Linked DNA regions of Tamandua tetradactyla. The protein of the gene in region 1 purifies or fractionates together with the protein of each later gene. This does not show direct contact. Links are inferred from orthologs where the notes say so. Each region holds a gene or a part of one and is shown in the gene's direction. Other genes may lie near its edges.

Region 1 (7,165 bases):
CCCAGAAGCCCTGATCCTCCGGGTTCTCAGGGTCCAGTGCCTGAGCAGCCCCCCAGACGCTGGCTGGTCCTGCAGGGGGGAGTACCCCTCAAGGCCTCACCTGGTAGGGACACTGCCCAGCTCACGACTTGGGGTGCAGGGGCTGAGGGGTCCACAACCTCTGTGCCTCTGGCCTCTCCATCCTCCCAGGCCTCGGACAGGGGGTCTGAGCAGGCTGCTTTAGGATCAAGAGCCCCTAGCTCTGCTCCTCCTCCCACCTTTGGAGGTCCCTGCCTCAAATTTCGTGAAACTGGGTGGTCCCAAGAGCTGGAAACTCAGGAAACCCCAGGTGCTCAGAGCCATCCCCCCAGCCTTGGCGTGGCTCATGGGGCAGCCCCCCTCCCCATTAATATATGCAACCCTCCATCTTCCTTCCCTTGCTCCCTAAATTATTGCTCGGCCACTGCCCCAGGACCCTGGGAGTCCACCTGGGGCAGCAGGGAGCAGTCCTCTGGTTTCTACGTGTATTTATAACTTGTGTATATATGTAAACAGATCTTTTTTTTAAATATATGTGCCTTTTGACTACTTCCCAAAGTCTGCTCGTCCTGCCTGCTGGTTTGTATTTGCTCCAAAGCAAGACAGGGACCAGCACAGCTAGAACAAGGCCCACCTAGAAATGCGGCTGAGAGTTATGGGCTCCCCTAGGGGTGAAACCAGCCCACCTTGACCTGGCCTACATCACACCCCCTGGCTCACGCCTACCTGAGGGACCATTGTTTACTGTGGTTGTGGTACCAGTTCTTAAGGCAGCTGCTACTGGCCAGCCTGTGTCAGGGCCCATTCACCTTGGCTTCAGGTACTGTGCCCCAGCAGCATCCAGGCTAGGGAGTTCTGCCTGGGACCCTCTTCCTTAGCTCCTCCTTTAGGCACAGACCACCTCTTGGGGACTCTGTACAGCCCCCAAGGGCAGATCCTCAACATGACTGCCAGCTCTTCAGGTCCCAGGCCATCCCTACCCCTCCTAAGAGGGACCCAGAGATAGCTGTACCTTTACAACAGTTCACTTTCCCCTGGATGGGACTAGATGGAGCCCAGAGGGTAGGCATGGGTACCCTGGGCTAATGCCTACACCACGAGATTGGCAAGTAGAGCAGCCTGGCTCACTGCCTAGACCAGCTTGGCCATCTAATGGGTTAAGGCCTCGTGCCTGGACAAGCAGCCCGTTGGGAGGAATTTCCAGGAACTGGCCATGCCCTGATGTCAACCCAGGACTGAGCTGCAGAAATCCCAATTCGAGCTGCCCCAGCAGGAATGGCCATGGGGCTCCCCCTGTGGATGCAGGAGGTCCAAGCAGGCCTGTTTGTAAATTTTATTCCCACAAGGCAGCCAGGGGTGGGGGCACCCTGCCACGCCGGCAGCCGGGTCCTTCCTCCAGCAGAGGTTGCACGCCAGGTTCTCAGGTCTGCCCCACCAGTGGGCTGGTTTGCAGGCAGGCCATCATGGGTGCTGGGTGGAAGGCTCCAGGACTGCAGGCAGGGGCACGGGTGGGGGACACGAAGATGGCACACACTTGTAGAACTAGAGATAACAGGGCAGGTCCTTCTCTATCACCTGTGGGAGAAGAGGGAGATCAGGACAGCTGATGGAGCACTCCTACCCACCCCCGGCTCCCTCAAACGGCACCTACCAGGGGCTCTTCCATGGGACCATATCGCTTCACCACACAGCCATTCTTGTCAATGAGGAACTGTGAGGGGTAGTCAGGGATGCAGATTCCTGCCTGCGAGGCCCCTCACTACCTGCTGTCCTATTTGTGCCAAGGTGGGGCCATGGGCCAGTGGGGGTGAGGCACGAAGGCTGTGGCTGATAGCCCAGGGGAGTTGGGCTGGATTGGGGGGATTAGAAGGGAAAGTAGAGGGCAGAAGTGGGAGTCTCCTCTTCCAGCTGGTGACCTCCTTACCTTAGTGAAGTTCCATTTTATGGCGCTGCAGAAAAGAGGCCCAAGGTCAGGAGGGCTCCCTAGAGGGGTTCAGCCCCCCACCCCCACCCCCGCAGCTGGGTGGGGAGCACTTACTTTCCCAGGATGCCCCTCCCCTTTGGCTGGATTTTCATCCACTTCCATAGCGGGTGGGCATCGTCCCCGTTCACGCAGATCTTGCTGAACATATCGAACTTGACGTTGTAGCCGGCTGCAAACTCTTTGATCTCCGCATTGCTTCCTGGCTCCTGCAGACAGCCAGGGCACTGGGAGTGGGGCAAGGGCCTGCCCCACCCCTCCCACACCATCGTCCTGCTGTCCTGAGTCCTGACCCGCACCTGGGTCCCAAACCTTCTACCCACTCCCAGTTGCCCTCCCCCTCCTGTCCTGTCCTCAGGGACCACGCACCTGCTTCCCAAACTGGTTGCAGGGGAAGGCCAGGATACGTAAACCACACTCAGCATATCGGGCGTGCAGGTCGACGAGCTGAGTGTAGTTTACGTCTGTCTTGCCTCATTGAGAGGCCACATTGGTGACGATGCACACGCAGCCCCTGGAGACGAGGGAAGCGTGGTCAGGGGGCGCTGGTGCTACCCTTCGGGGTGCCCCGTTTCCCTCCCTGGGCTGGCCGGCAAGCACGCACCGGTACTTGTCCAAGCACACCATGTGCCCATCGATGTCCTTGGCGGAGAACTCATGCATGGAGCGGGCACAGCGCCAGTCGTCCCGGGACGCGCACTGCGAGGCAAAGACACGCTGGGGGCCAGGCGCGGGGCAGCTACCCCACCGCGCACCTCCAGAGAACGGCCCTTCGCGCCCCAAGGAAGCCACGGCCCAGGACTAGAGGAAAGTGCCGCCCCCAACGGCCACGCCCCCTCCCCGCCCGCGGAGCGGGGTCCATTTTACAGAATTAACTGGGGCCGCAAGAGGGTCCGTGACCCTGCAAGGCTCCGGAATCACGCAAGGCTCCGGGATCCCGGCAGGCGCCGCCGGTCCCGGGCTCTCGCAGGGGGATCTCTTCCTCCGGGGGCGCGGTCTCCGGCGCCGACAGGCCCGGGTCTTCCGCCTGCCGGCCTTCCGCCTGCGGGGCTGTCGCCTGGGGCCTCTGCCCAACGACCTGCCCCGGCGGCTGCACCGCTTCCCGCGGCGGCCCCGGGAGCGGGCAGCTGCGCGGCCCATGCCCGCCCCTCTCCGCCCGCCTGTGCCCCAGCGCGCTGTGCGGGGGGCGGGAAAAGGGCCCGTAGCCAGGGCGCCCGGGGCCAGCGCTCTGTGACGTTGTCGCCCTGGGCCCCGGGGGGAGGGGCGCTGAGACGCGGCGCGTGACCCGAGTTTCCCTGCTCGATGGCCCCGCCCTCGAGGCCAAAGCCCGGGTGCGCAGAGGACTGGCCGCCCAGCCGATCCCGCTAGCCGCCTACACCCCCCCAGGCTTCCGGACACCGACGCCAACACTCCCACCCAGCCCTGGGACACTGTGTCCAGCCCACAGCCCATCCCCGAAGCCCAGGGAAACGAACCTGACCCTCCCACCGCACCCGTGCCTTCCCATCCCCAGCCGGCCTCCCCCACCCCCGATCCCGCACTGGCTACCTGCCCAACGCCCCAGACAGGCCCGGCGGCCGCGTACAAAGTGAATGGGTACGGTCCCCCGCTGCGCCCCCGGCCCGGGGCTGGTGGGAGGGGAGAAACGGACAGGAGCCCCCCCCCGGGGGGACGCCGCACCCCCGGCTCCCGGGCTCCCGCGAGCGGCCCAACGGCTCCCGGCTCCGGCCCTGCGTGCCTGCTCACCATGGTGCCGGCCAGGCCGGGAACTGCCAGCGCCCCGCACAGCAGCGCGGGTTTAAGCAGACGGCACAGGCGGCTAAGGCTCATCGCGGCGGTGGGGGCGCGGAGCGCGGCGGCTCCTCCCTTTGACCGACCGACCAATGGCCACGCGCCGGCGCCCCGCACCTTCCCGCCTTCGGCCACGCCCACCTACGCCCTCATTGGCGGGCCATGGATGCGTGCAACTGGTGACCAATGGTGGGGCGGGGGCGGTCTGCGGCTCTGTTGTCGGTAGCCACTGCGCATGCTCTCCTGGGTGGGTGGTTGAGTTCACGCCGCCGCGCGTCGGGATTGCGGGCGGTTGTGCGAGCGGCGGGAGGGAGAGAATGCCTCCCACTCTCCCCGAGGGCACGGGGTGGGGGGTGGGAAAGGTCGTCCAAACCGCCAGGAAGCGCGCCCAAATTCCCGGGAATACTCTCACGGTCACGCAGGTGTGCGCCCAGAAAAAAACACGCCGGAGTTCTCCAGGCATGTGACTTCCCATCCCCCACGTGGTTTGCGTATATTTCCAACACGGGGCAACTTCCTTTTAGCGCGTCCAAACAAGGCCCGGCCGTTGGACCACAGGGGCACGGCAGACCCACCACCTTTTGGGTCCCGTGAGTTATGCAGCACCCCCAACTCCCCTCCCCGCGTCACGGGACTGGCCCTTGGGAGAGTTTCTGCTTTCTGCCGTCTGGTGGCAGAGGCAAAGAAGGGAGGGTCACCAGGTCACCCGCTAATGTGGAACCTCATAAGGTCCATTTCTCAACACAGCCCTCCTCCGCGGGGTCAGTAGGGGCCTGCTTCTCTGAGTCTCTTGGCATGGTGGCCGTGGGCTCCGTGGGGCCCCCCTCACTTCCTAGGAACTCCCACCCAGTCCTCGCCGCCCTCGGAAGTGCCCAGTGCCCTGACCACACTGGGCTTGCCCTAAGGCTCAGATGTTCTCAGTTTTGCTTGGATCTGTAAACACCTTCCCCGAAAGGCTGATTTTTTTTTCAGTGTTGTCAAAAACACAGGGCGCCGCCCTCCTAGAGCCAGGGGCGGAGAGAGGAAAGATAGAAAGACCGCTGCACCCAGCCCTGGCCGCAGGCCATCACCTCCCCAAGGGGCCTGGGCGAGGTGGAAGCTGTGGGGTGGGGGTGGGAGGGGTTGGAGCCCAGCTGTACTCTGGCCAGAGGGTCGAGGTCTGTCCTGAGTTGCCACCAGTCTACAGGGCCTGTCCTATGACCTAGTTTTTTTGTAATCCTCTCGTTTTGAAATAAAATTCGCCATTTTAACTACGTATAACATGTCCAGTTCTGTGGATTTTAGTATATTCACAATGTTGTGCAACCTTCACCACTGTCTGGCTCCAGATCATTCTCATCACCCGAAAAAGGGGACCCCATGCCTGTCGGCTGCCACTCCCCAGCCCCACTCCAGACCCCAGTGACCTCAAATCTCCTTTCTGTCCGTGTGGGTTTGCCTGGCCAGGACGTTCCTTATCAGTTGGAATCAGACGAGCTTTGTGCTTTGTTCTTTGCTTCTTTCACTCTGCAGAATGTCTTCAGAGTCCAAGTGGGAACAAAAGGTGATACTTGTCCTTTTTATGGCCGAATAATAGCCCATTGTAGGGATCAGTCATATTTTGTCCATCTGCTGGTGGATATTGGGTTGTTTCCACTTTTTCCGCCATGACATCCTGCTGTGAACACGAGTCTGTGCGTGGACATGGGTTTTAATTTATCTCGGGGATTGCTGGGCCTCACAGGGTGCAACCCTCTGAGGAGCCCGCTTGCCCCCCCTCCTCCGTCTCCACCCCTTCCCTCCCCTGGCTTCCCCAAGGAACCCCGAGGCCACCTGGAACATGCACTCTCTAGCCAAGGCCACTGCTTCTTGGGCTTAGCCTTTGTCACCTGCATTTACCCTCATTCCTGAGTGCCCTTTCTCCCATTGCCAGCAGCTCTGTCTGCAGCTCCAGTCCCTTCACCCCTGCACACCTGCCCCAGCCCCTCCCTGCAGCTGCCTGGTCAAAGACACAAAGCAAGTCTCGACTTGGTGGCCGCCCCCTCCTCCCCTGCTTTCTGGGACACCTGGCAGCCTCCTCCTTCCCCTCCACCTTTATCCTACTTAGGAAGCTCTCGGCCATGCCTGCGTCCTGGGCACTGAGCGCAGTTATTGGCCGGCTCTCCAAGGAAGCAGGTGTTGGTCCAGTCCCTATTTTGTCTGGCGGGAGCACCCAGGCACTAGAGAGGTTAAGAAGTCACACAGCTAGGGCTGGAGCGCAGGCAGCTGCCCCAGGGTCTGGCCAGCCCCTCTGCCTTCTGCCGCCCCCGCTCCCGGTGCCAGGCCAGGATCTGTCGCCAAAGGCACAGCTAATGTTGGGGCATCCTGGGCATTGGGGGTGCTTATCAGGGTCTCTGGGCACCCCCTCCCCAGTCGTGACACCCACAGATATCTCCAGAAATCCCTAGGGGTCCTCTTCAGGACAGTTGCCACCATGATCTTCACCGTGAACTCCACAGATCCTCCTCCCTCCTTCCACCTCCCCTCAAAGTCCCACGGAGCCTCAAATTCCACTGCCCAAGACCCCTGTCCCCACCTACCCCCCCCCCATTATCCCATCTCCATCGGGGCCACCTCCATTCTCCCCGGCATGACCCCACGCTCCATCCATCTGCAAATACCATGGGCTCTGCCTTCAGGAGACACCAGGTCGCCCTCAGCTTACAGTTCCCCCAGTCCCTATCCCCACATCTGGCCGGTGGCCCCTTCCCACTATCACCCAGCCCCCAGCGCTGTCCCCAAAACAGCAGCTCCAAACATTGCAGTGGCTGAACAGAAAACCTGCACTTGACAACCAAACCGCAGACCTCCCTGGCTCTGCCCCCCTCAGCCCCGACCGTCCCTCCTTGTGGCCCCCCACCTCTTGCTGCCAACACACCGGGCAAGGCCCGGCCTTGGGTACGCTGGCCTGTACCCTTGGCCCGACACCCTGTCCCTAGACCCCAAGCTGCTCCCACCCAGTCCTGTTTCAGGGACTTGCTTAAACCTTTCTTCAGGGCCTTCCTTGAGGTCCCCACTTGACTCCGCAGCCCCCTCAAGTCTCCCTGACCCTGCCTTGCTTCTCTTTCTGCAGCCTCATCACTTTCTATTGTACATTCATTTATGTTTATGGCTCTGTGTCACCTTTTGCTGAAAGGAGAAATGGGGGAGACCTGGCCGGGACTGCTCCAGCCACTCCACAGTGGAGCCTGTTGAGATTTGGAAGAAAGAAGCACTGCACACCAGGTGATAAGTCCTCAGACCTTTACTTGGGAACTTACAGAGAGCTACCGTGACCTTGCCCCAGACAACAAGGTCACAAGAAGGTCACTGGAGGATGCTGGCACCCGTGGCAGCCAGTCTTCAGATAACAAAGGG
Region 2 (7,525 bases), on another chromosome or scaffold:
ATCTGTTTGGTGTGTTTGCTTTTGAGGAAAAGGAACAGAGACTCTCTAGGCAGCCCCAATTAAGGAAAACTGCAGGGAAGTCCTGCGTGGGGCTAGAGCAAGCAGGAGCTTGAACCATTGACTGGCCCCCAGAGAGTCCAGGAAGAGCTCTCAGCACAGCTCAGGAGCCTGGAAGGGGGGTCCAGAGTCCAACCCAGCTTTGCCAGCTGTGTTATCTCATTAGGCCTGATCTTCCTCGGCAGCCTGCAAACTGATTTCCCTGGGGAAAGGACTGCACTCCTGACCATTCGGCTGCACCCACAGAATAGTGTTTGGTGACAACTGCACATGGCCTCCTCAGACTTAAGGTGGCTTCCCTTGGAGAACCTGGGCCTGGGTCATTTTATTGTGGGGTGGGTCCTCAGGGGCTCTAGCCCCTCTTCCATAGCAAGCCCCACCCCACAGCTCTAGCCTTGCAGGATCCTTCTTAACCTCAAGTCCCAACTCAAAAGCCTCTGGCTTCGGGACGCCTCTCCACCTCATTAGTCATTCCCACCTCTGCTCTATCGCATCTCAACACAGTAGATTGTTGTTGACATCAGATGTGGTTTCTCGAGTGGGCCTTGTATAATTCACATTTATATCCTCAGCATCGCATGGGCCACTTATGTGTTTGCTGAAGGAATAACACAAGGAGCCTCTTTGGCGCTGCCGGTTGGGACTGCTTTTCTCACAGGGGAGATACAGAGGACACAAGTCAGGCCAGTTGGGCCTGGGGTGGCATTCCATTCCCCTGGTGATTTTTAAAGTAAATGAGTTTGATGGAAAAACAGCTTGGAAAGGGTTAAAAGGCAGAAGTAAAGACCAGGGAGTCTGCCCCAAGGTTCAAAGATAAACAGTCTGGCTGAACTTGAAAGAAAAGGATGTTTTTAATACAGCAGGTGTTGCTAAAAGACACAAAGCAAGATTGCTTAGTCTAGCAAGAACTAGCTGACATTGCCAAAAGTGGTAAGCAACATAAAGTAACATTAGAAAATAGAACAAAGCTTTTCACATGCATATCTAGGGTATAAAAAGAAGTACAGCCCTAAATAAACTTGCCTGAACTTCTCTGAGAAGTTAGGTCCCCTGATCCCAGTCTCTTTCCTCTTTCATTCTGGGCACCGTCTAGCCCTGCGTTGTAAGTAACAGTAACATTAGTTATTTAAAAAATTTTAATTATAAACATAACACATTCATTGAAAAATTTTAAACAACAGAATGTATAAAGTTAAATGTTAAAAAGCCTCCACACTTTCCTTCCACTATTCATAATATTTTCTTTTTGTCTTTGTGTTTTTTTAATCATCTTAAGACTTATGATAACAAAATTTACTAACTCGTACTGATGGTCTATCTTCTCTATCTAAATCCTTACGAGTTGGCAAAAGCATCGTGACCAAACACACGTAATTCAGTGTCTCTACAATTTTATGTGGTTTTGAATAGCAGTTTAAAGACGACCTGAATTGTAACTTGGTCTGATTTAAGATAATAAAGAATGAAAAAGCAAAATTTAACTTGTCACACTGACTTTTGAAAACATTCAACTTTATAGATTATCTATAAAATGTGAGAAGGTTTCACACATTCACACATTCAGCATTCTTTATTGGGTTTTATACATAAACGACACCAAAATGCCTTTTGTTAATTAAAAGGCAACATTTCAAATATTGAAATTCAGGGACTTTTAATTAGATTGACACAGTTAAGATCAAAAAGATAAAGTGGACATAGCTACCTTATTTTTAGCACCTGCCTTTAAACAGGCTGAGGACACCAATTGAAACCCAGATGAGTCTTGCTCTATTCTGTGACAATGAAGAGATTTCCTAGTATTCAAGTATATTCATAACACCAATCATATAAATTTAAATTTAAAACCAATCTCCAGTAGATTGAACTGGTATTCACCATCTCTGTGAAAAGCTGAGCATTACTAATTCACTTAGCCTCAGTCCAGTTATATCTTTAGAAAGGGGAAATAGTGATAGCACTTGCTGAAACCAGAATTATATCAATTTAAAAAGCTTGATCACATTCATTTAACTATAAGCTAATCTTATTTAACTCAGGGCTGTCCAATAAAAATATACTATCAGCTATTCATGATCTGAATTCTGGTGTGTGAGATCAATTCAGATATGATACATGTAAAAAAGTCCCACCTATCTTATAATAAATAATGCAGTGGCCAATTATTACTCATTAGTAGCTTTGAGATAAGCTATCAAGCCTGCCCTTTCTGCCATCTTCTTACTGCCAGCAAAGATCATTTTTCTTCCAGGGATATACTTCTTGGGATTCTCCAAATACTCCAACAGTGTCTCCTCTTCCCAAGTGATGCCTTTCTTCTTGTTGGCATCTGTGTAAGAGAATCCAGGCGCCTGACCTGTCTTCCGCCTAGAGACCATGCAGATTTGGCCCAGTCTTGTGTTTCCCTCCCTCTTCCACGGTGTGGCACTGGGCACACTTCTGAACAAAAATCTTCTTGCCCTTCTCAAATTCACCCATTTTGAATTCACTCTCTTAGCACATGATACAAAGGTCCCCGCTCAGAAGCCGAACATCCTGCTGTCTCTATTAATATTTTTCAACCAGCTTTACTGGGGTAAAATTCACATACCATACAATTCACCCATGCAAAGTGTGCAATCCAATGTTTTTTTAGTATATTTACAGGGTTGTGCAGCTATCGCTATAATCTAATTTTAGAACATTTTCATCTCCCCTAAAAAAAAAAAAAAAAAAACCCGTACCCATTAGCTGTCAGTTCCCATTCTGCACCTCACTTCCTGCCTGCAGAACCTCCACCCCACCCTGCTCCCGGCTTCCTAGCTCCCAGCAACTGATAATCTATTTCCTGTCTATAGATTTGCCTATTCTGGACATTTCATATAAGGAATCATATGATGCATGGTCTTTTGTGTCTGACTTCTTTCACTTAACATATTTCTGAGGGTCATCTATGCTGTAATATGTATCAGTACTTCATTCCCTTTCATTGCCAAATGATATTCCATTGTATGAATATTCCACATTTTATTTATCTATTCATCAGCCACTATTAACAATTTAATATGCCTCCTGCATTTGTTTGTATTATCTGGGTTTGGATCTCTGTGGGGCAAGTTCCCAGGTGAATGACATTGGGTTAAGTCATAACTTCTCCAAAGCTTTGCCTCAGTTTCCTCAATTGTAAAATGTGAATAATAATGGACTGTAACTCAGAGTACTGTTGTAATAGTTAATATTTGATGAGCACTTACTATGTGCCAGGCACTTTATAAAGATGACATAACAGATCTCTAATTTACAGACTAGGGAATTATGGTGGAGGGAGGTTAAGTCATTTCCACAAAGTCAAACAGCTTCTAGGAAAGCCATGATGGTAAATAGGAACAAGGCTGGCCGACTGCCAGGTCAGCACCATTCACTGTCAATCTCATGGTGTAAAAAGTGCTTACTTAGGGCTTGGCAAAGAGAATGAACTTGGTAAATGAAAACTAATAGAACATGAAAGACTTAAAAAGCAGAAACCACCCCCAGCAATTGCCTCAAAGGCAAAGGCATCTGCCACTGTTAATATTTTGTCATATTTCCCTCCTGCTTTAAGAAATATTTCAAGCATACTAAAAAATAACAGGAAATAATGAAATTGACACCCACTCTCCCAACCCTGTTCTTTCAAAGACATAAAATCTTGCAGATCAGGTAGCTCTGCCTTCCATATCCCGGGTATTTTTTAACTCATACATTATTTTCTTTAGATAATCAGGATCATATCATATCATTTGCATCTTTTAGAAATCCTATCTTGAGCATTTTTCCAGCATCATTCTGCAACACGATTTTTCTTGGCTGAATACACCATACTATACGGCAGAAACATATTATTTCTCGATTCTACATCGTGAGCATTTATGTTATTTCTCAGCAAAAAATCACTACACTTGCTTCTTTATTTAGGGAATCCGATAATTCCCTTTTCCCAAATTCCCAGAAAGGCCCAAAGTCAGAGGCTGTTCCTTTAGTTAAAGCTCTTCATAAATTTTTTGTGAAATAGCTCTCAAGGAAGAAAGGGAACAGGGAGAAGGGCTTTTTTTTTCTCCATCTTTAAAAACATTTTATTCAATTATAACATCCCATATAACCAGCACCCACATCAAGAAAGAAAGTAACTCCAGCAGCCACAAGTCCCCTCGGCCCGTCCCCATCATCACTGCTCTCTGAGGGGTGGGATTCTAAATCCGCAAAGGCCCACCAACTCTATCAACTCTTTGGAATCTTAGTTTATTAATACTCTGATAGGACCTAGGCCAAGAAAACGTGATAAGTTATTTCTGCAAACGCTGGACAGTCTGAAGTCTGCCTGGACGAAGAAAATACAGTCCCCTCGGGAAAAGGAGCACCGGGCGGCGCGGAGGGCCCAGCAAAGTCCTCCAGGCTCCCGGCGTGCAGCGCGCCCATCCCGGCGTGCACCGCGGCTTGCTGTGCCGGCGATCCTGCGGGCTCAGAGAGGAAGGCGGAAACAGCAGTGGTGAAACTGTGTGAGGTTTCTTGTCCTGCGGTATCCAGAGACGACGAGGCGGAGGCAACATGGAGGTGTAAGCCGCCCGGGATGCGTTCCCGCCTTTGGGCGGGGGCCCAAGGGTGGGGGACGGTTACACTGCGGGGAGCCGGGAGGCGTGGAGATGGGGCGACCCTCCTCCCCGGCTTGCGGTGAGGGCGACGGCCCAGTCGTAGAAGGGGCAGTCGGGTTTGGGTAGGAGGGGAAGAAAGGGACTTTAGACTTGCTCCTCTGAACCTTTCTTCCCCACCTTCCCACCTCCTCATCTCCATGCCTGGGACATGAGCAGAATGCCATTGGGCCTGGCTGTCTTTCATTCGTGTCTCCTCTCTCCTGCGGTCATTTACACGTGTTTCCTAAGTCCCAGTGGGGAGCCCGGCCCGGTAAGTTAGCGGCGATTCAGGAATAAATCCGTGAGTCCACCAGGAGGGGAGACGGTTAGGTGTTGAAATAGATCCTAGGGGTAGTAGGCTCCCACTCGGGGGAACCGTAACTCTGAAGAGGTGCTCAGTGAGTGTGATGAGGAGCAGTTAGCCCTGTGAAGGAAGGCGCGTATATTCTGCGGAGAAGGGAGTGCGTGAACCAGTTAAGGGGCTGAAGAAACAACACTGGTGGGGGGGGGGGGAGGGGAGAAAAGAGTAAGAGCTGTTCTAACGATTTAGCTCCACATTGTCTTTTCTCATTTTTACTCCTAGTACCATGTGCAAATGGAGGTGTTTTTTTTTTTTTTTTTACTTTTCATGTGTATTTTTACTTAGTTGACATTAACTTGCAGGTACACATATATTGTGTTCCTTACAGCACCCAGTTTCCTTTGTTCTGTAACTTGTTTAATGGTTATATATACCGCAGTTTTTCCAGTTTATTTGATCTTATCTTGACTTTTAACACAAGATGTATATATAACTGAAATAAAAGCTTCATGAAACAACGTTTACCTTTATTGTATGCTATGCTGTACACTCTGACACTGACTCTTCTATTTCATGAAAAGAATGCTGACTTGGTTGTATATATGTTACCAGAATAAAAATTAAAAAACAACCATGAAACTGTACAACGCAAAAAGTGACCCCTGTTGCAAGCAATAGCTATAGTTAATAGTGTACTTATAATAATGTTTGTTCATCAGTTGCAGCAGTTACCACACTAATGCAAAATGTTAATAGGAAAAACTATGGGAGGGAGGTATGTGGGACTCTACTTTCTCCATAATTTTTCTGTAAACCTGTAACTGCTCTGTTTTAATTTGTAAAAGCTGTCAGAATGTGATATACCAGAAATGGAATGGCTGTCAAAAAGGAGAATTTATCAAGTTGCAAGTGTACAGTGCTACGGCCATGAAAAATGTTCAAATTAAGGCAAGGTTATAAAAATGTCCAAACTAAGGCATCCAGGGAGAGATACCTTGGTACAAGAAGGCTGTTGAGTTCCTAGTTTCTCAGATGGAAAGGCACGTGGCAAGGTCTACTAGCTTTCTTCCCAGACTTCTTCAGTGGCTTCCCTGGTGGTGTTTTCTTTATGTCTCCAGAGGTCTCTGGCTATGTGGGCTCGGTTTGTTCTAAAGCTTTTTCCAACATGGGTACCTCTTGAAGGACTCCAGTAAGCAACCCCACCTTGAATGGGTGGAGATACATCTCCATGGAAGCCATCTAATCAAAAGTGACCACCCACAATTGAGTGGGTCACATCTGCATAGAAACAATAAAAAGATCCCACCCAGCAATATTAAAAGGATTAATGGGCATTGCTTTTCTGGGGTACATGACAGTTTCAAACTGGCACATGCTCTCATAAAAAAAATAATGGGAAGAAGGAAAAAGAAACCTAATTTTTTTTTTACCTAATTGGTTTTGTAACCCATTAATGGGATACAACTGCAGCTTGAAAAACACGTATGACTGTGATCCAAGCCATTATTATCAGTTTCTCCCTATTGACTGGAGAATTTCCTGTCAGCATAAAAAACTTCTATTTATCCATCTTAAAAATAAAGTCCCTTGTGGCAGAGTTCTCGACTGCCAAGCCCGAGACCCAGGTTCAATTCCGGGAGCCTGCCCATGCCAAAAATAAAGAGATAGATAGATGCATAGAATCCCTTGTCTCTTATTCATTTACGCTCCATTTCTATTTCGCGTTGTAACAGAACTTCATGATAGTTGTTTAGGCAATCCCTTTGTACTGTCTAAACCATTCTGTTTTGTTGTTGTTGTTGTTTTTACCTCATTAACTCCATTTAAATGGCTCTTGTGATGATTACCCAAGCCCTCCAGTTTGTCAAATCCAAAAATTGGTTTTCTGTTGTTTACTTTCTTGATCTCTCAGCAGCAGTTGATACGGGTGTCTGTTTCTTCTAGAAATATTTACTGGCTTTATGACATGCTCTCTTGGATTTCCTTCTACATCAGGTACTACTTTTCAGTCTCCTTTCCCCCCATCCCTTCTTGTTGGCTTCTGAGTGTTGAGGTATCTCAGAGCTCAATCCTGGGAACCCTTCTCTCCACATACTGTCTCTTGGCTATTGTACCTACCTCTGCTGATGAATCTACGAATTATAATTCTAGCCCCTTTCTCCTGAGTTCTGAACCCCAATTCTCCACTACTTATTTGGCATCTGCATTTACACGTTGAAAAGGCAACTCGGACTTAACATTTTCAAAACAGAAATATTGATGGTTTCCTCTCCAGCCCAACCTGCTTATATCTCAGTTATTAAGACCATCATCTACCTAGTTGCTAGGTTTTCTGACTTTCCTAAGTGAAATGGTCTTGTAACAACCTGTTCACTTCTCTCTAGGAGTCAGTGACTTACTGAAACTAATCAAGAATTTTGTAGCTAGCAATTCATGGATGTTCTAGTTTGCTAGCTGCCAGAATGCAATATCCAGAAACAGAATGGCTTTTAAAAAGGGGAGTTTAGTAAGTTGCAAGTTA
Region 3 (7,634 bases), on another chromosome or scaffold:
AGCATAGTTTGATTGTTATTGACATTAAGTTGGTGTCAAGGCAAACAAGATTGTTACAAATTTAGGATGTTGAACTTAAGCCTCACAATAACTATCAAGAACATGTCAGAAAATATGCAAGTTCATAGAGATAGAGAGTAGAATATAGATTGCCAGGGGTGGAGGTAGGAAGAACAGATTGCTAATGCATAATGGTATAAGGTTTCTGTTGAAGAGATAGGAGAGTTTTAGGAATGGAAGGTCATGAGGGCTCTACAGCACTGTGAATGTGAGTAATCCCACTGAATTGTATACTTGGGAGGGGTTGAGATGGGAAGTGTTGTATATCTGTTCCCAGAATGGAAAAAAAAGCAACTGAAGAGACAATGACATATAAATACAGTATATGATCCAGGATGGGATCTAATAAAGAAAGGAGAAAAGGCTCAAAAAAACATTGAGACCTATAAAAAAAGTTAGAATGTAGACTGTCAGCTTTATATCAATGTTAAACTTCTTAAAATATGTAACTATTAAATTTTACCAATGGGGGAACCCCTGATACTGTGTCAAACATTAGGAACACTCAAATCAATAGGCCAAGCCCTTGATCAGGTAACTTCCTCTTGTGAAGCTTATGTATATATAGAGCGGAGAAGTTTAGCCTGCCTATAGGTATGGCTGAGAGTTACTTTTGGAGAACCTCTTTTGTTACTCAGTGTGGCCTTTCTCTTTCTAAGCCTAACCCTGCAAGTAAAATCATTGCCCTCCGCCCTACATGGGACATGACATCCAAGGGTGAAAGTCTCCCTGGGGCAGGGGAGATGACTCCCAGGGATGAACCTGGCCCTGGCACCGTGGGATCAACAATACCATCCATACAAAAAGGGGGGAAAAAGTGTAACAGTGGCTGGGAGAGTTCAAGTAAAGCCGAGAGACTACTCTGGAGACTACTCTTAAACAAACCTCAGTTAGACATTGCTACCTAAAGGCAAAACATTCCTGCCAATCTTAAGGAACTCTAGCGCATTAAGATTCTACAAAGATTCAATGCACTAGGGTAACTTTCCAGAGACCTATATCCTCCAGATGGGTCCCTGGACCAGCTAAGTCCTGAAATGCAGAGGGGCCAGCCTCTCTAGAACATCAGCTAGTTCCGTCCCCCTACCCCATATTATCGATAGCCCCTTCCAACATGAAAAAGTTAGAACAAGCATAGCCCAAATACCCCTAAAGAGTGGGAGAAAGATCAAAGGTGATGGTAAAGTTATACAGAGTATGTAGGGTTTAAATAAATGAGTATGATTACTGAGTCATTATATTGATATTTGTTTTAGTCTCCAGTGTCTTGGAGCAGCTAGAAGTAAAAACCTAAAATTGTGGAATTGTAACCCATACCAAACTCTGAAATCTGTTCTACAACTAATTGTTGCAATGTGCTTTGAAATTTATTGATTTTTTGTGTATGTTATTGTTCACAAAAAAGAAAAAAAGTTGGTTATAATGATAAATGCACAGTTATATGATGATATTGTGAACCATTGATTGTATACTTTGGAGGATTACATAGTATATGAATATATACTGTATATCAATACAAATAAATAATTTTAAAAATGTTTAATTTCTTGAACTTGATACCGGCATTTAAATGAATATCCTTGTTCTTAGGAAATATACATGGCAGTATTAAAGTGTTCAAGGAGTATGATGTATACAGCTTATACTCAAGTGTTCAGAAAATGAATTGATGAATAAATAGATAGGCAGGCAGATGGATGGATAGATAAAATGGTAAGGCAAATGTTGGAGTTCTCTGTATTGGGTTTGTATTATGTTGGCAAGTAGGAATGATGATGAAGAAAACTTTTTTATGCCTTTAAATAATATTTTTCTTAAGTTGTGTGCATGCTTTGGTAAAATATAGCATTTAAAAAAACTATAGAATGTTAATATCATTTGGGATTACGTAAATAGTATCTATAATATACTATAATAGTATAAATAAATGCTTTATAGAGAATCTATCTAATTACCCATTTTCAAAACTTTCTGATATATTTATATTTCTGTCTTTTGGACTGTATTTGTTTCAAACTAATACTTCTCTGATTCTTAACTTCATTTTCTACATATATCATAAGTAATACTAAACTCAGGAACCATTATTTTCCCATTATTACCCATAACACTTAGCATGGTATCTTAAAGTCTCAAAATATGCCTGACGAATAAATTTTCTCTTCTCCTTTACCTTGTTTTAAGGTAATACATGTTCATTCTAGAAAAAAAGCAACAAACAAGCAAAAATCACCCCAGAATTCATCTTATCATTTTCCTAATATCCCTCCACATGTTTTCCTATGTAATAAATACACATAAATAAATTTAAGATACAGTTATCTTTTTAAAATATTTTTATTGACAAAACAACATACAAACACAAACATTCTTAACACATGAACAGTCCATGCTTTGTGTACAATCAGTGGCTCCCGGTATCATCATATAGTTGTATATTCATCACCATGATCATTTCTTAGAAATTTGCATCTCTCCAGAAAAAGAAATAAAAAGAAAAAATACTCATACATACCATATCCCTTACCCCTCCCTCTCATTGACCACTAATATTTCCGTTTACCCAATATATTTTAACCTTTGTTCCGCCAATTTTTTTTCTATACCCTTTACCACTCCCTTTCATTGATCACTATTATTTCAATCTACTCAATTTATTTTAACATTTGTTTCCCCTATTATTTGTTTATTTTTTAATCCATATTTTTTACCCATCTGTTCCTACCACAGATAAAAGGAGCGTCAAATACAAAGTTTTCACAATCGCACAGTCACATAGCAAAAGTTATATCGTTATACAATCATCTTCAAGAAACACGGCTACTGAAACACAGCTCTACAGTTTCAGGCACTTCGCTCTAGCCACTCTAATACACCTTAAACTAAAAAGGGAATATCTATATAATGCGTAAGAATAACCTCCAGGATAACCTCTCAACTCTGTTTGAAATCTCTCAGCCACTGACACTTTATTTTATCTCATTTCTCTCTTCACCCTTCCGGTTGAGATGGTGTTCTTAATGCCTTAATGCTGAGTCCCAGCTCATTCTAGGATTTCTGTCGCATGTTGCTGGGAGGTTTAACACCCCTGGGAGTCATGCCCCATGTAGAGAGGGGGAAGGCAGTGAGTTTGCTTATCATGTTGGCTGAGAGAGAGAGAGAGAAACCACATCTGAGCAACAGAAGAGGTTCTCTGGGGGTGACTCTTAGGCCTAATTTTAAGTAGGGTTAGCCTGTCCTTTGCAGGAATAAGTTTCATAGCAACAAACCCCAGAATTGAGGGCTCGGCCTGTTGATTTGGTTGTCCCCACTTCTTGCAAGAGTATCAGGAATTCTGCACATGGGGAAGTTGAATTTTCCCCCTTTCTCCCCATTCCCCCAAGGGGACTTTGCAAATACTTTTTTATTCACTGTTTTAATCACTCTGGGTTTATTGGGGCATCACATTAACCCGGACAAACCTACAAAATCTCATGCCCTATTCAGGATTCAGTGTATTTATGGTGTTCAATTAAACTATCCATATAAGTTAAATTAGGAAATGCAGTAGTCAAAATATAAATTTTATACCAAATAAACATTTCTTCCTTTAGTCTCACACAGAAGTTGAAGTTTTAAAATGTAGATGACCATCTATTTTCAGCGCCCTGCAATATCCACATTCCTTTGTTTTTCCTCATGCAAAAAGATTTTTCAATTTTTACATTTAGTCATTATTATGAGATAGAATTATCTTTTACACACTGTGTTTTTACCAGCCTTTTATACTTTATATGTTATGAAAATCTTTCTGTGCCAAGCATTCATTCATCTTCATTTTAATGACTAGCTAATTTTCTACTTATGGATATGCCACAATTTATTTAAGCAATCCTTTATTAATAAACATTTAGGCTTTCTGTTCTTTTTTTTTTAATTGTTAGCAAATGGTTTAATGAGCATCTTTGTACAAATAATTTTGCGTACTTATTTGAATAATTCCTTAGGATAGAGTGAATTTTTAAATCAATAGGTACGTACTGTTTTTAAGGCTTTATGTCACCTTGCCAAATTGTCCTCCAGAAATGTTGTATTTGCTTAAGTCCTCACAAGTAGAGAATGACTTATCCATTTTCCTCCTCCCTCACTGACCAATGGGGAGAAGCAGATTTATCATTGTGGGGTTAATTCATATTTCTTAGAATAGCAGTGAATTTTGACATTTTTAATATGAATGTGAATATATTTGGCCATACATGTCTTTTGGTTATTTTTTTTAATTAATAAGTAAAGAGACAGAATTCTTAAAAGGATGTATGATTTAACTGCCTCATATTGCAAATATTTTTCCAGTTCTCATTTTCTCTTTAACTTCATTTTCAGTTTTCCCCCTTCATATAGAAAGGGATTTTGTAAAATTTTATGTGTTCAAAACTGTCAGTCGTTTTTACAAATTTCTGCCCCAGCCATCTTGCCCCAATGACTGTTCCTTTCCCAACAGTGTATAAATGAAATTAATTGATTCACAAATTTTAGTGGGGTGGCTACCTCTCAAATTTCTTCCCTTTTTTCCACCAGGAAAGCAATAGAAGAACTGCTTAAGGAGGCAAAACGTGGGAAAACCAGAGCAGAAACAATGGGACCTATGGGGTGGTAAGTTTTCGAATAATCCTCCTTAAAACTTAAAATGTTAAAATACAGCATCTTGGCTGGAGATATAAATATGTATTAAATGTGACTAGAGTGTATACAGAGGAAATCATCCAGAGGCAAGTGGTCGAGCAGTTAAACTGCAAAGGGCCCAGTGCCCAGGAACTTAAGAGCAGGAAGAAGTGGTGGAGAATATGAGTTTCATCATCCCTTTGATTTGCACATCCCCAAGGGATGTGTAGGTACCACCATGCCCAGTGACACCTGTGTGAAAGTAATATTTTTAGTCTTCATTGTTGAAGAATTTCTGCTTTGATTATAGTTTTTAGTAAATTAAAGTGAATTTGTATTTTATTTTTTAAAAATTAATTCTAACTGTAAGTATTTTGAATATATGACATTTCAGCCACATGGACTAAAGTTTACCTTTGCAAGTTTCTGTACAAAATAGAGTGTCTTAAAACTTAATAATATAAGCAAAGGATTTAACCTTAAGAATGATGTATACTCTTTTATGCACTACAGTCAGTGATTATGTTGATTATACATCTTTTAACTACAATTTTAAATGTTACTTCAGTGGAATACCCTGGGCTATTAAAAAAATAAAATGTAAAAATGGGGTAGGAGTAGAAACTAGACCTCGGAATGTGCCTCTTTTTTAGATTTGGCTTTTAGAAACCATGCACATAAAACATAAAATAAAATTAACTCAAAATGGAGGGAAAAGGCAGTCCATAAAAGTTGAGCAAATTAAAACAAATGAACCTGAATAAGTGTAGTGGATGGCTTAACCATACGTAGAGGAACTATTTCCACTGATCCAAAAACACAGCAATTTTTACTTTATTTCCTGAAGACAAAGAACTACAAAGACATTGTAAATTGTTTTCAGTCTTCTTATTGTTTGTAATAATATTGGTATTGTTATTCTGAAAGTATATTATAGTAGGATAAAGCAAATAAGTAAATATGCCAATGTTTTCAGGCACCAAGCTTTTCAGTGTGAGAGAAAATAGATACAAAAGCAAAATCTGAGTAAAAACCTATAGTCCTAAATTTGAATTGGAAATGTCAGTAGGAAGACATGTTAGATTTTTTTCCTTAAAACAGAGAAAAGCTTTTTCTAGCTGTGTTTATGGAAAAGTCCTAGAAACAATGAACTGCTCAGTAGTAGGGAGCTCCCCTACATCCAGATTGTGGTCTGTAAATACCATTTTTCACTAAAAGGCAATAATAATCCTTACAAAAATAACTGATTCCAGATTGAGGTAAGAAACATACAAGAGGAGCTAGAAAATCTTAACACAGCAAAGAGCAAAGAAACTATCAAAGACAATTGTAGTCAGGTCAGAAGAACTCAGGAGCCAGCTTGAAAAGTCATCCACTGGTCAAAGATGGGGTTATTTGATCATCAAAAATAATAGCTTTAAAAGTTCAAACACTTAAACTCTGTTAAAATCTGTGAGGTCAAAATGATCACCAAAGCAGTGAACTTAGTGATCCCCTTTTAGAGGAAGCTAGGGAACCAAATCATTATTCACAAAATTGATAAATAAAGAAGAAAAATCAAACATTTGTCCTGTTTCTGAACAAATTGTATCTCAAGTTAGCAAATAGTTGATGAAAGAAGCTTCTTTATAGAAGAATTGCAGTTAATAAATATAGAAGGCATGTAAAATATGGTTATCATCATTTGAATTCTTAACTCAATAAAAAGAAGGAAAACAATCCATTTTTTAAATGGTCATAAGATTTGAACAGACACTTCATCAAAGAAGATATAAGATTGGCCTATAAGCATATGAAAAGATCATTAGTTATCAGGAAAATGCAAATTAGAACCACAATAAATTACCACTACATACACACTATAGAATGGCTAAAATAAAATTAAGGTTGGGATGTGGAACAACTAGAACTCTCACACATGGCTGATGGAATTTTAAAATCATACAGCCATTTTGGAAAATAGCTGGCTGTTTCTGATAAGTCTACAACCCAGAATTCTTAGCATTTACCAAAGAGAATTGAAAATTTAAATCCACCCAAAATCCATACAATAATGTTCATAGCAGCTTATTCATAATAGCTCCAAATTGGAAGCAACTCAAATGTCCATCAGCTGGTGAGTGGATAAACAAATTCTGAATATATCCATAAATTCAGTGCTACTCAGCAATAAAAAGGAACAGAGCTACTGATAAACACTGCATGGATGAATCTCATAAGCATCATGCTAAGTAAAAGAAGCCAGACACAAAAAATGACACAGTATATGATTCCATTTATATGACGTTCCAGAAAAGGCAAAACTATAGGAACAGAAAACAGACCAATGGTTTCCAGGAAGTGGGGGTGGGAGGAAGGGATGGATGGATTGACTGCAGAACTTTTGAGGGTAAGGGAAATTTCTCTATCTTGATTGCAGTGATGGTCACATGACTATATATATTTGTCAAAACTCATGAAACAGTTCACTTAAAAGGATGAATTTTGTTCTATGTAAATTATACCTCAGTGTATTAGTTTGTTAAGCTATTGGAATACAAGATACCAGAAATGGAATGGCTTTTAAAAAGGACATTTAATAAGTTATAAGCTTATCGTTATAAGGCCATAAATATGTCCTAACTAAGGCAAGATTCCTTGACTCGAGGAAGGGCGATCTGGGAAGGCATGTGGCTTGTGTCTGCTGGTCCTTGTTACCGGTTCTGCTGCTTCCGGCTTCTGATGCCAGTGGTTTCCTCTGTAAGCGTCTGTGGGCCTTCACTTAGCTCCTCCGGGACAAACTCTGGGTTTCATCTCTTAGCTTAGCATCTGCAGAGGCCGGAGATTTCTTCTCTTCAGTATTTGGCTATTTCTGTGAGTTCTTGCTTAGCACTCCAGGCTATATCTTTCTTGATCTCCAAACATCTACATAGGCTCTCCTTCAGCTCTGTCAT
Region 4 (7,732 bases), on another chromosome or scaffold:
GGTCAAGTGGTAAGATGTCCACATGTCTGCTTGCCAGAGAAAGCCCCAGTTCTCACCCGTTGTCCAAGTCCTGCTTCCAAGTAAGCATTGTCATAGACTTAAACTGTGCTGGTTTGGATGATAATTATGATGGTCACCCTGCCAAGGTGACCTTTTGGTGATGCTTCTCATGCGGCACAGCCAGAGAAAATGGGCCAAAGATGAAGTTCAGTGAGGAGCATCCCCACCTTGTTAGATGCTATGCACACAACTAAGCCAGCTTCTCTCCTTTTTTTCTGTGCTAAGGGAAAGGGTCTCCTTAGCAAGAATGTGTTTTCTTTTGGGGAGGCCTAGTTTATCAGGTAGGTTCGTTGGTTGCAAATAATAGAACTGAATGCTGGCTAACTTTAGTAAAGAAGCAATTTTATGGCAGGAAGTAGGTCACAGAATGAAAGGTAAAATAATCAGGCTTTTGAAAGGGAGATACTGGGGCAAAATTGAGAGCTAAGAAGCAGAACAGTCCGGAAATTCCCTTCACGGTCCTGCTGTTGAGCTAAATCATTATTTGGTATACAGATTCAGATTCCCAGGATCAATCTTCCGATTGGGCTGTTTTAGGTATTGAGTGCATCTTTTAGTACTTTGATTGACAGTTCCTCCAGGACCACTGGGGAAGATTTGTCCCAAAGAGTATCAGAGTACTGGAACCAAAAAATGGAGGCATAGCTGCTGGGAAGGTCAAAATAACAGATACCCATCCTGAAAGAACATGCCCTTTGGAGTAGAGGAGAAGGGCCATACAGATTGGAGAAGAGTGTTAAAGTAAATTTTCCAGATAGTTAGGTAGCAAGCAGGTGTCAAAATTTTATTTCAGTCTCAGTGCACATGAAAAGACCTCTGGAATGCTAATTCAAAGATTCATTGGAAGGGACATTTTTTAAAATTACTTTTTATTAAGTTATCACGTACATAGAGTAAGTTGTACAATTTTTTTTTTTTTTTGGCATGGGCAGGTACCGGGAATCAAACCCGGCTCTCTGGCATGACAGGTGTATTAGTTAGGGTTCTCTAGTGAAACGGAATCAACAGGGAACACTTGCAAATATAAAATTTATAAAAGTGTCTCACATGACCGTGGGAACACAGAGTTCAAAATCCGCCGGACAGGCTATGAAGCCGACAATTCCGATGGAGGGTCTGGATGAACTCCACAGGAGAGGCTCACCAGCCAAAGCAGGAAGAGAGCCTGTCTCTTCTGAATCTCCTTAAAAGGCTTCCAGCGATTAGATTAAGCATGTCTCATTGCAGAAGACACTCCCTTGTCTGATTACAAATGGAATCAGCTGTGGATGCAGCTGACATGCTCATGATTTAATTCTATGACATGTCCTCATTGTAACAGACAGGCCAGCACTTGCTCAAACAGACAAACAGGTACCACCACTTGGCCAAGTTGACACATGAACCTGACCATGACAACAGGCAAGAACTCTGCCTGCTGAGTCACTGTGGCCTACCCTGTGCAATTAAAAGGGCATAGCATGATGAATTTTTATATATGTATACATCTGTGTACCAACAACCCAGATCAAGATACAGAACTTGAAAAATACATATATATTTACATTCATCTGTCTATCTACTTCCTCAACCTCCTTTCAAAGCAGTACATCCCATCCTACACCCCACCCGAGAGGTCCCCTGACCTCTATCTTGGTAGGAACATTAAATAGGAAAAGAGGGTAGTTAGATAATCATTGTTAGACAAGATACAAAATAAAAGAATGTTTGGTTAAAGGTCACTATGCTCCTGACTCACAGACAACAGTCAACCGGCTGGGTAGAAAACTAGTTTTTCTAGTACAAGTCTCAACACCATTAAATTTCATAAGAAAATCTCTGAGGCATTTTATCAGGAAAGCTAACTTTTTTCTCGAAAGACGTTCATGCAGAAAATTTGGTCTCAGACCAGGTGTGGGGTAATTTTCCTTTTACCTCTGTAAACGAATAAAGAATGGAGCAGATTCAGGACTGCGTCCCCACTCCCACTGCTTACATCCTAGGGCTTATGATGTGGAGAGGAACATCTTTACCTGGTGGCCTCTAGATTGAGGAGAGGTGAGGGCAAGTGGGCAGTTGTGGATCTGTGGTGCTTGTCCACTTCACCTGTCCCCAATAGCCTGGGGCAGAGAAGTGGACCCATCAAAGGATGGTCAGGGTTTCAGGCCTTGCTTTCTGTCCCCTCGGCATACAGCTGCTGGGACCCTGAGGCTCTGATGCAACCTTCTGTTTATACTGCTAATGAATTTACTTTCAATTGTCATATGACAGTTGTACGATGGGGCTGCGGGACTGCAAGAAACTCCCTAAAGGGGTTCCTGGGCTCTGCCTTCCACAAGCTCACTGCTAAGAAGTCTGCTCAGAATGTGTTAGCCAGATGGACCTGAATTGCTTTAGAATATTACGGCAGGAATATCTCAGCTTCACTGGAGTCCTTACCAATTGCTACACAAGGAGGATTCTTGGATTATCGTTGACAGATACCAGATGGCACTATTCTTTAGCAGAAAATGAAAAAGGGATTCTCCAAAATGGAAATTTTACTGGGCCTTTGGAAGGGTTTTTTGAGCTGGGAGCCAGAAATCCATGAGGATTTCTCTATGACTTCCTGTTGTTCTTCTCATTTTATCATCCTCTCTTTTTCTGTGTTTCGGCATTCTCTACTTCTCCAACTTCTGTCACAGAATAGGACCTCTCCAAATCCCCTTCTCCCTAGTTCCAGGCAGTCTCAGATGAACTCCTTAAGCATCAAGTTAACAAATCAGTAAGTCACTATGTCTCAATTCAAGATTATCAAAAAAGAATTTGACTGGTTTAATCTGAGACTGAAGTCCACCATAGAACCCACTCAGTGGTCATTGTTATGGGGTAGTGACACAGGACAAACGTGGCTGCCAGAGACCCACTCTCTGAGCTGGGGGGACAATTTCTAGAAAGTGGGACTGGACAGAGATTCCAGCAATTATCCTTCACTGGGGATAAATTTCCCAGACAACAACTCACAAACAAACACAATCCCTTCTGGCACTAAAATAGCACAACTATTTCAATGCTCCTATTGTTTTCAAGATCTCTTCCTCATTCAGCTTTGTATCCCGACCCCCCCATGCCTTTGCTTGTGTCCTCAATAGATGGTTGCTTCTGTGTTTTTCTTTGAATTTTTTTAAAAGCAACAAGCACTCCCAGCACAATACAATGTTTGCATATCATTACTTATATTAAAGGTAGATGGAGAAATATAAACTGGGCTAAGGTAGAAATTGGAAGAGAAGGAGAAATATGTTATATCCAAATAGTACTGGTGTTTGCGAACTGGATGTTAACCAGAAACTTTGATCACTGCCCTGAACAGTCTAATACAAGTCAACACAAAACTGGAATTCTATTTATGACAGTGTGCTCTCTATGACCTTCTAGGGAAGTGTACAAAGCATTACAATCGTTAGTGGAGTTGCTGCCTAATTTCATATATCGGTCTTGGGCTAAAGCATTGATTTGGCTCATTGCGTTAAGTCAACGGGTTGTGGCTGTCTTCCTAAATTCTAACAATTTAGGAAGTACTAAGTGGCCACTGCTAGGTAGTAATTACAATGACTGACATTTACCAGATCCTTACTGGTGTACCAGGCACTGTGCTATATATGCTTTACCCATCATCTTTGCTAATCTCCATTTTACAGAGGAGGAAATGGGCGCTTGGAGAAGTTCGAGAATTGACTCTTGCAGTTCCCTGTGCCTGGAATGCTTTTCTCTCTACTCTTCCCAAGGCTGGCACCTCAATGCTCAGCCTCTGTTGAATGGCACTTCCTTAGAGAGACCTTCCACTACCATCTCTTTGACCACCCCAACCATTCTATTTTAACACCTTGGTTTTTTTTTTCTTCACTGTACTCATCACTAGCTGAGAATCATGGTTACCTCAGCAGAGGGAACTAGGATGGGGGCCAAAAGTTAAAGGGCATTTGAATCTTCTCTGCAAGTTTTTAATATTTTGCAATAATTCATGTATTATTAATGTAACCAAAAATTAAGACAAAATTTTTTTGGAGCAACTGTCTAGATCAGCTCCCCGTTTTGGCCATCGGAGCCCCTGGTGAGGGTTACTAATTTCTCCAGGATCGATCTCTCCCAGAGACACAAAACTCGGGTCGTGTGGGCCACGTGGGGGTTGACCTGGGGTCGCCGGGTTAACCACCCAACTCAGAATACAGATCCTTAAGCTCCCTTCCGCCCTAAAACCTATTTGGAACGACTCTGGGTCTAAAAACTGAAGCAAATAAATTTTTAAAAACCCATGACGTGTTTTAAATAATTGTATCAGAGTCAGATAAGGCACGTATTAAGGAGGAACTCCAGTGAACCGCTACAAGTTCGTTAAGCAAATAGATAATCACTAAAGAGAGCCTTAAAAAAATAATTTACGCAACTGGGTAGCGTGGCCGAGCGGTCTAAGGCGCTGGATTAAGGCTCCAGTCTCTTCGGGGGCGTGGGTTCGAATCCCACCGCTGCCACAGTCGATCGCTTTTTCACCTCTCCGACTTTTGCACCTTGTTCTGTTTTGCCCACCCGCCAGCGCCCCCTGCAGCCAAGGCCGGGCTCTCAGCCCGCATGAATGGAGCGGCGGAGGGGGCGGGTCCGCGCGCTCCGGAGCGGGGCATTGTGGGTAAGAGGAAGCGCGGGGGCCGGCCCCGCTCCCCCCACGTGTCCGCCGGAGTTTCTCCACCAGAAACATGGCCGCTCCCTGAGAGAAGAACCGGGCCGCCGCCGCCTCTGCAGCCCGCGGGTACCTGAGCCGTTGCCGCCGCCCCTGCGCGGCTCCCGCGTAGAGGTGAGTCCTCGGGTTGCTGCTCCCGGGCCCAGGCTTAATCCTGGCCGCCTTCGTGGCTTGTGCCTGGTCTGGGCCCCTTAGTAGGCCAAGGAGGCCCGAACCGCGCCGGGCTGAAGGGCCGGAGTCCTCTCGGTACCCGGTAGGCAGAACGGACGGCTCGGCTCAGGAGACCCAGGTTAGTTGCGGGCTCTAACGCCCCAGCCCATCCTAGTAGTCGGGAAGGCCGCGTCCTAGGCTGTCGGCGGTGACTCAGGGTCCAGCCCCCTGCCCCACCCGGCCGGACCGGCCTCCTCCGGGAGCACCTGTCCGCAGGCAGCCGGTGTCCGGCAGGCGTTGGCGGCTGGTGGCCATGGCAGCGTTGGGGGCGGGAGAAGTACCGGGTGGCCAACCCTCATGGGCAGGTGGAGAGGGTACCCCGAGTTAGCCTGGCCTTTTTCCGGCTGCTGAACCCAGTTAGCCTCTGCCTGGCCAGGCCTGGAATACAGGCAACCGTTGAGTGTTTATTGAGAGCCAACTTTGTGATGCGGATACAGGTCAGAGGAAGTGTCAGTAAGCAAGCCAAGTCAACCAGTAAACAAACAAGGTCGTCAGATTTGAGGGCCGGAAGAATAGATCCTAGCAGTCGCCACAATTTTCTCGTGTGAAAAGGGAATAATAGAAAATTTCTACCATATAGGGCTGCGGTAAGGGCTAAATAGAGTAGGACGAGTGCAGCCCCTGCATCAGCACTTGATTTGTGGCTAAGTAGCAGAACCTCTCACACTGGGAGAAAACATGTTGCTGAGTAATAATGCTAAACCTTTCCATAGGTTACATCGATTATCTTATTAAATCCATGGCTGGATGAAAACAAAAACACCCGACGGACAGATGCTAATCTGCAGAGGTGGTACTTGAACCGGTGTGGTTCAGTTCCAAGGCCCAGGTTCTTACCCACTCCACTATCTGGCCTGTGGTTGAAGAAGGGTGTATTAAAGTTATTAAGAAAAATAGATCTTTGACATTAGCTCTTCTGGCTCTTCTGCCATGCTGTAGTGCTGTGACCTTGGGCAAGTTACTCTCTGAACCCTAGTTTCTTCATTTTCAAAAGTCTTGACTCAGGGCTGTTTAAGTGAAGAGACAATTAAATGAGAATGTATGTGAAGGCCTTAGAGAGTAAGCTCCACACAGTGAACATTTATGTAAGGGTTCATTATTTCTTTGCAGGTCAGCTAAATCTTCCTTTCACAAAGGGGAAACTGAGGTGACCCAGAAAGAGGAAATGCCTCATCCAAGGGGCACACACCCAGTTACAGTCCTTAAGATGCCAGGTCTTGCAATTGCTAGTCCCTGGGCTCTTTTCCCTTAATCCATTGTATTTTTGTCCTTTTCCTTTCCTTGCATTCTTTCCAGCGCCTAGAGATTATTTGGAGTTGCCTTTGATTTTCTGATTGGCTGACAGGTTAGATTCCTGGGTACAGTGTGGATGCACCAGTTGTGGCCTTCAAGTATCTCCTCTCTCTGGGCCTCTTCTCAGCTCAGCTTGGTTGCCCTTGCCCCGTTTCCAGTTGTTGAGCAGCTCCCTGTTGAGGGGAGAGTCCATTCTTTCCTGAGGCCAAACCCATGGAGCCCCTGCCACAGAGTGCCCTTGTGGCCACAGGACATCCTGATGAGCCCCAGGTAGTGATAGGTTTAGTACTGCTGGGGAGTTGGGCTTATGGCGGCTGCAAGTTCTGCCTCCCTCCCCACACTGGATCCATGGCTCTGGTCCTTAAGTGTCCGTGAGGCCCAAACCATGAGGCTGCCAGTCTCTGGATGGGGCTGAGTGGCACTCACTGCAATGAGGGTCTGTGGCTGCCTCGTTTCGCTCACTCATTCACTTCACGTAGTTATTCTTTGTACTATATTGTCTACTCTGTACCAGGCAATGTTTTCGGAGAACAGCAGTGAATAATAATAATAACTTAAAAATAATCTCCACAACTCAATGAAGTTAAGTATAATTATTATTTTCATCTAATAGTTGAGGGAATTGAAGCACTGAGAGGTCCTCTCGGGACTGACATTGTAGTGCAGAACACAGACGATGCTTAAGCAAATAGGCCAGGTAATTACTGATTGTCATAAGAACCACAAAAGAAATAAAACAGGGAGATGTGGAAGTAGGGTTGGAGAGTTATAGCTGATAAAAAGAAGCCAGACTTGCAAAGATCTGGAGGAAATAGATGGCTTGCAAAGGTCCTGAGGCATTCTGGGGCTTTGGCCTGTTTTTGGCTAAGTGCGTGGTGAGGGAAAGATGAGCACAATGCTGCAGTGAAAAGGACTTTAGATTTTATTCTACATGACAGTCAAAAGAAGGGGAATGAAGAGATTCCCCTTCTTTACCAGGACAACTTGCTCTTGTTGGGAGAATTGGAGATAAGAAAGAAGGGATTCAGGGAGACTTGTTGGGCCAGTACTTCTCAAATTGCAGGTCAGGATTTTTCAGGGATGTGAAATCATTTTAGGGATGTAACTAGCATTTTTATTTTTTAATAAACCAGGGCAGAAAACATCACTGCATCATGTATAGTAAGGACTAGTACAGTTATATGGAATTGTATTGCAGTTATGTAGTTGTGTGTCTGCTCTGGGTTTCTGATCCCAGATGTCTTTCTTCCTGTAGTGGTAAGCTGAGAACTTTGGAGCCGGCTGAGCTGGATGCTGGTGGCTGGAAGGGTGGAAGAGGTGAGAACCCTTGCGTGAACCCAGTCAGAGAGAGGAGTTTCAGCCCTCTAGCTCCTAGACCCCTCAGCCTCCCTGATCTCCTTAGTGACTGGGCTGAAGCCAGCAGGCAGACCAGTAGCTGACAGGGCCTGTCTTGGGATGTTCCCAGGCCACACCCTC

What was found. The genes of interacting proteins can lie anywhere in the genome.
Region 2: the proteins of POLR2E (region 1) and CRCP purify together in Homo sapiens (affinity purification with mass spectrometry; 3 studies listed by BioGRID and IntAct, with this or other methods). This does not show direct contact. The link is inferred for Tamandua tetradactyla from reciprocal best matches to the Homo sapiens genes POLR2E and CRCP.
Region 3: the proteins of POLR2E (region 1) and protein POLR1D-like purify together in Homo sapiens (affinity purification with mass spectrometry; 4 studies listed by BioGRID and IntAct, with this or other methods). This does not show direct contact. The link is inferred for Tamandua tetradactyla from reciprocal best matches to the Homo sapiens genes POLR2E and POLR1D.
Region 4: the proteins of POLR2E (region 1) and POLR3E purify together in Homo sapiens (affinity purification with mass spectrometry; 5 studies listed by BioGRID and IntAct, counting the BioPlex papers as one, with this or other methods). This does not show direct contact. The link is inferred for Tamandua tetradactyla from reciprocal best matches to the Homo sapiens genes POLR2E and POLR3E.

What each region holds. Positions count from the first base shown.
Region 1 is NC_135337.1:81,867,714-81,874,878, forward strand, and holds the start of POLR2E (DNA-directed RNA polymerases I, II, and III subunit RPABC1), read left to right. Parts: upstream 1-4,074; 5' UTR 4,075-4,249; intron 4,250-6,881; exon of another isoform or gene 6,882-6,944; 5' UTR 6,945-7,165. UniProt on the Homo sapiens protein: DNA-dependent RNA polymerase catalyzes the transcription of DNA into RNA using the four ribonucleoside triphosphates as substrates.
Region 2 is NC_135349.1:18,078,400-18,085,924, reverse strand, and holds the start of CRCP (DNA-directed RNA polymerase III subunit RPC9), read left to right. Parts: upstream 1-4,508; 5' UTR 4,509-4,620; coding exon 4,621-4,628; intron 4,629-4,880; exon of another isoform or gene 4,881-4,974; intron 4,975-7,525. UniProt on the Homo sapiens protein: DNA-dependent RNA polymerase catalyzes the transcription of DNA into RNA using the four ribonucleoside triphosphates as substrates.
Region 3 is NC_135330.1:192,895,510-192,903,143, forward strand, and holds the start of protein POLR1D-like, read left to right. Parts: upstream 1-4,617; 5' UTR 4,618-4,675; coding exon 4,676-4,692; intron 4,693-7,634.
Region 4 is NC_135349.1:34,964,905-34,972,636, reverse strand, and holds the start of POLR3E (DNA-directed RNA polymerase III subunit RPC5), read left to right. Parts: upstream 1-4,715; 5' UTR 4,716-4,867; intron 4,868-7,732. UniProt on the Homo sapiens protein: DNA-dependent RNA polymerase catalyzes the transcription of DNA into RNA using the four ribonucleoside triphosphates as substrates.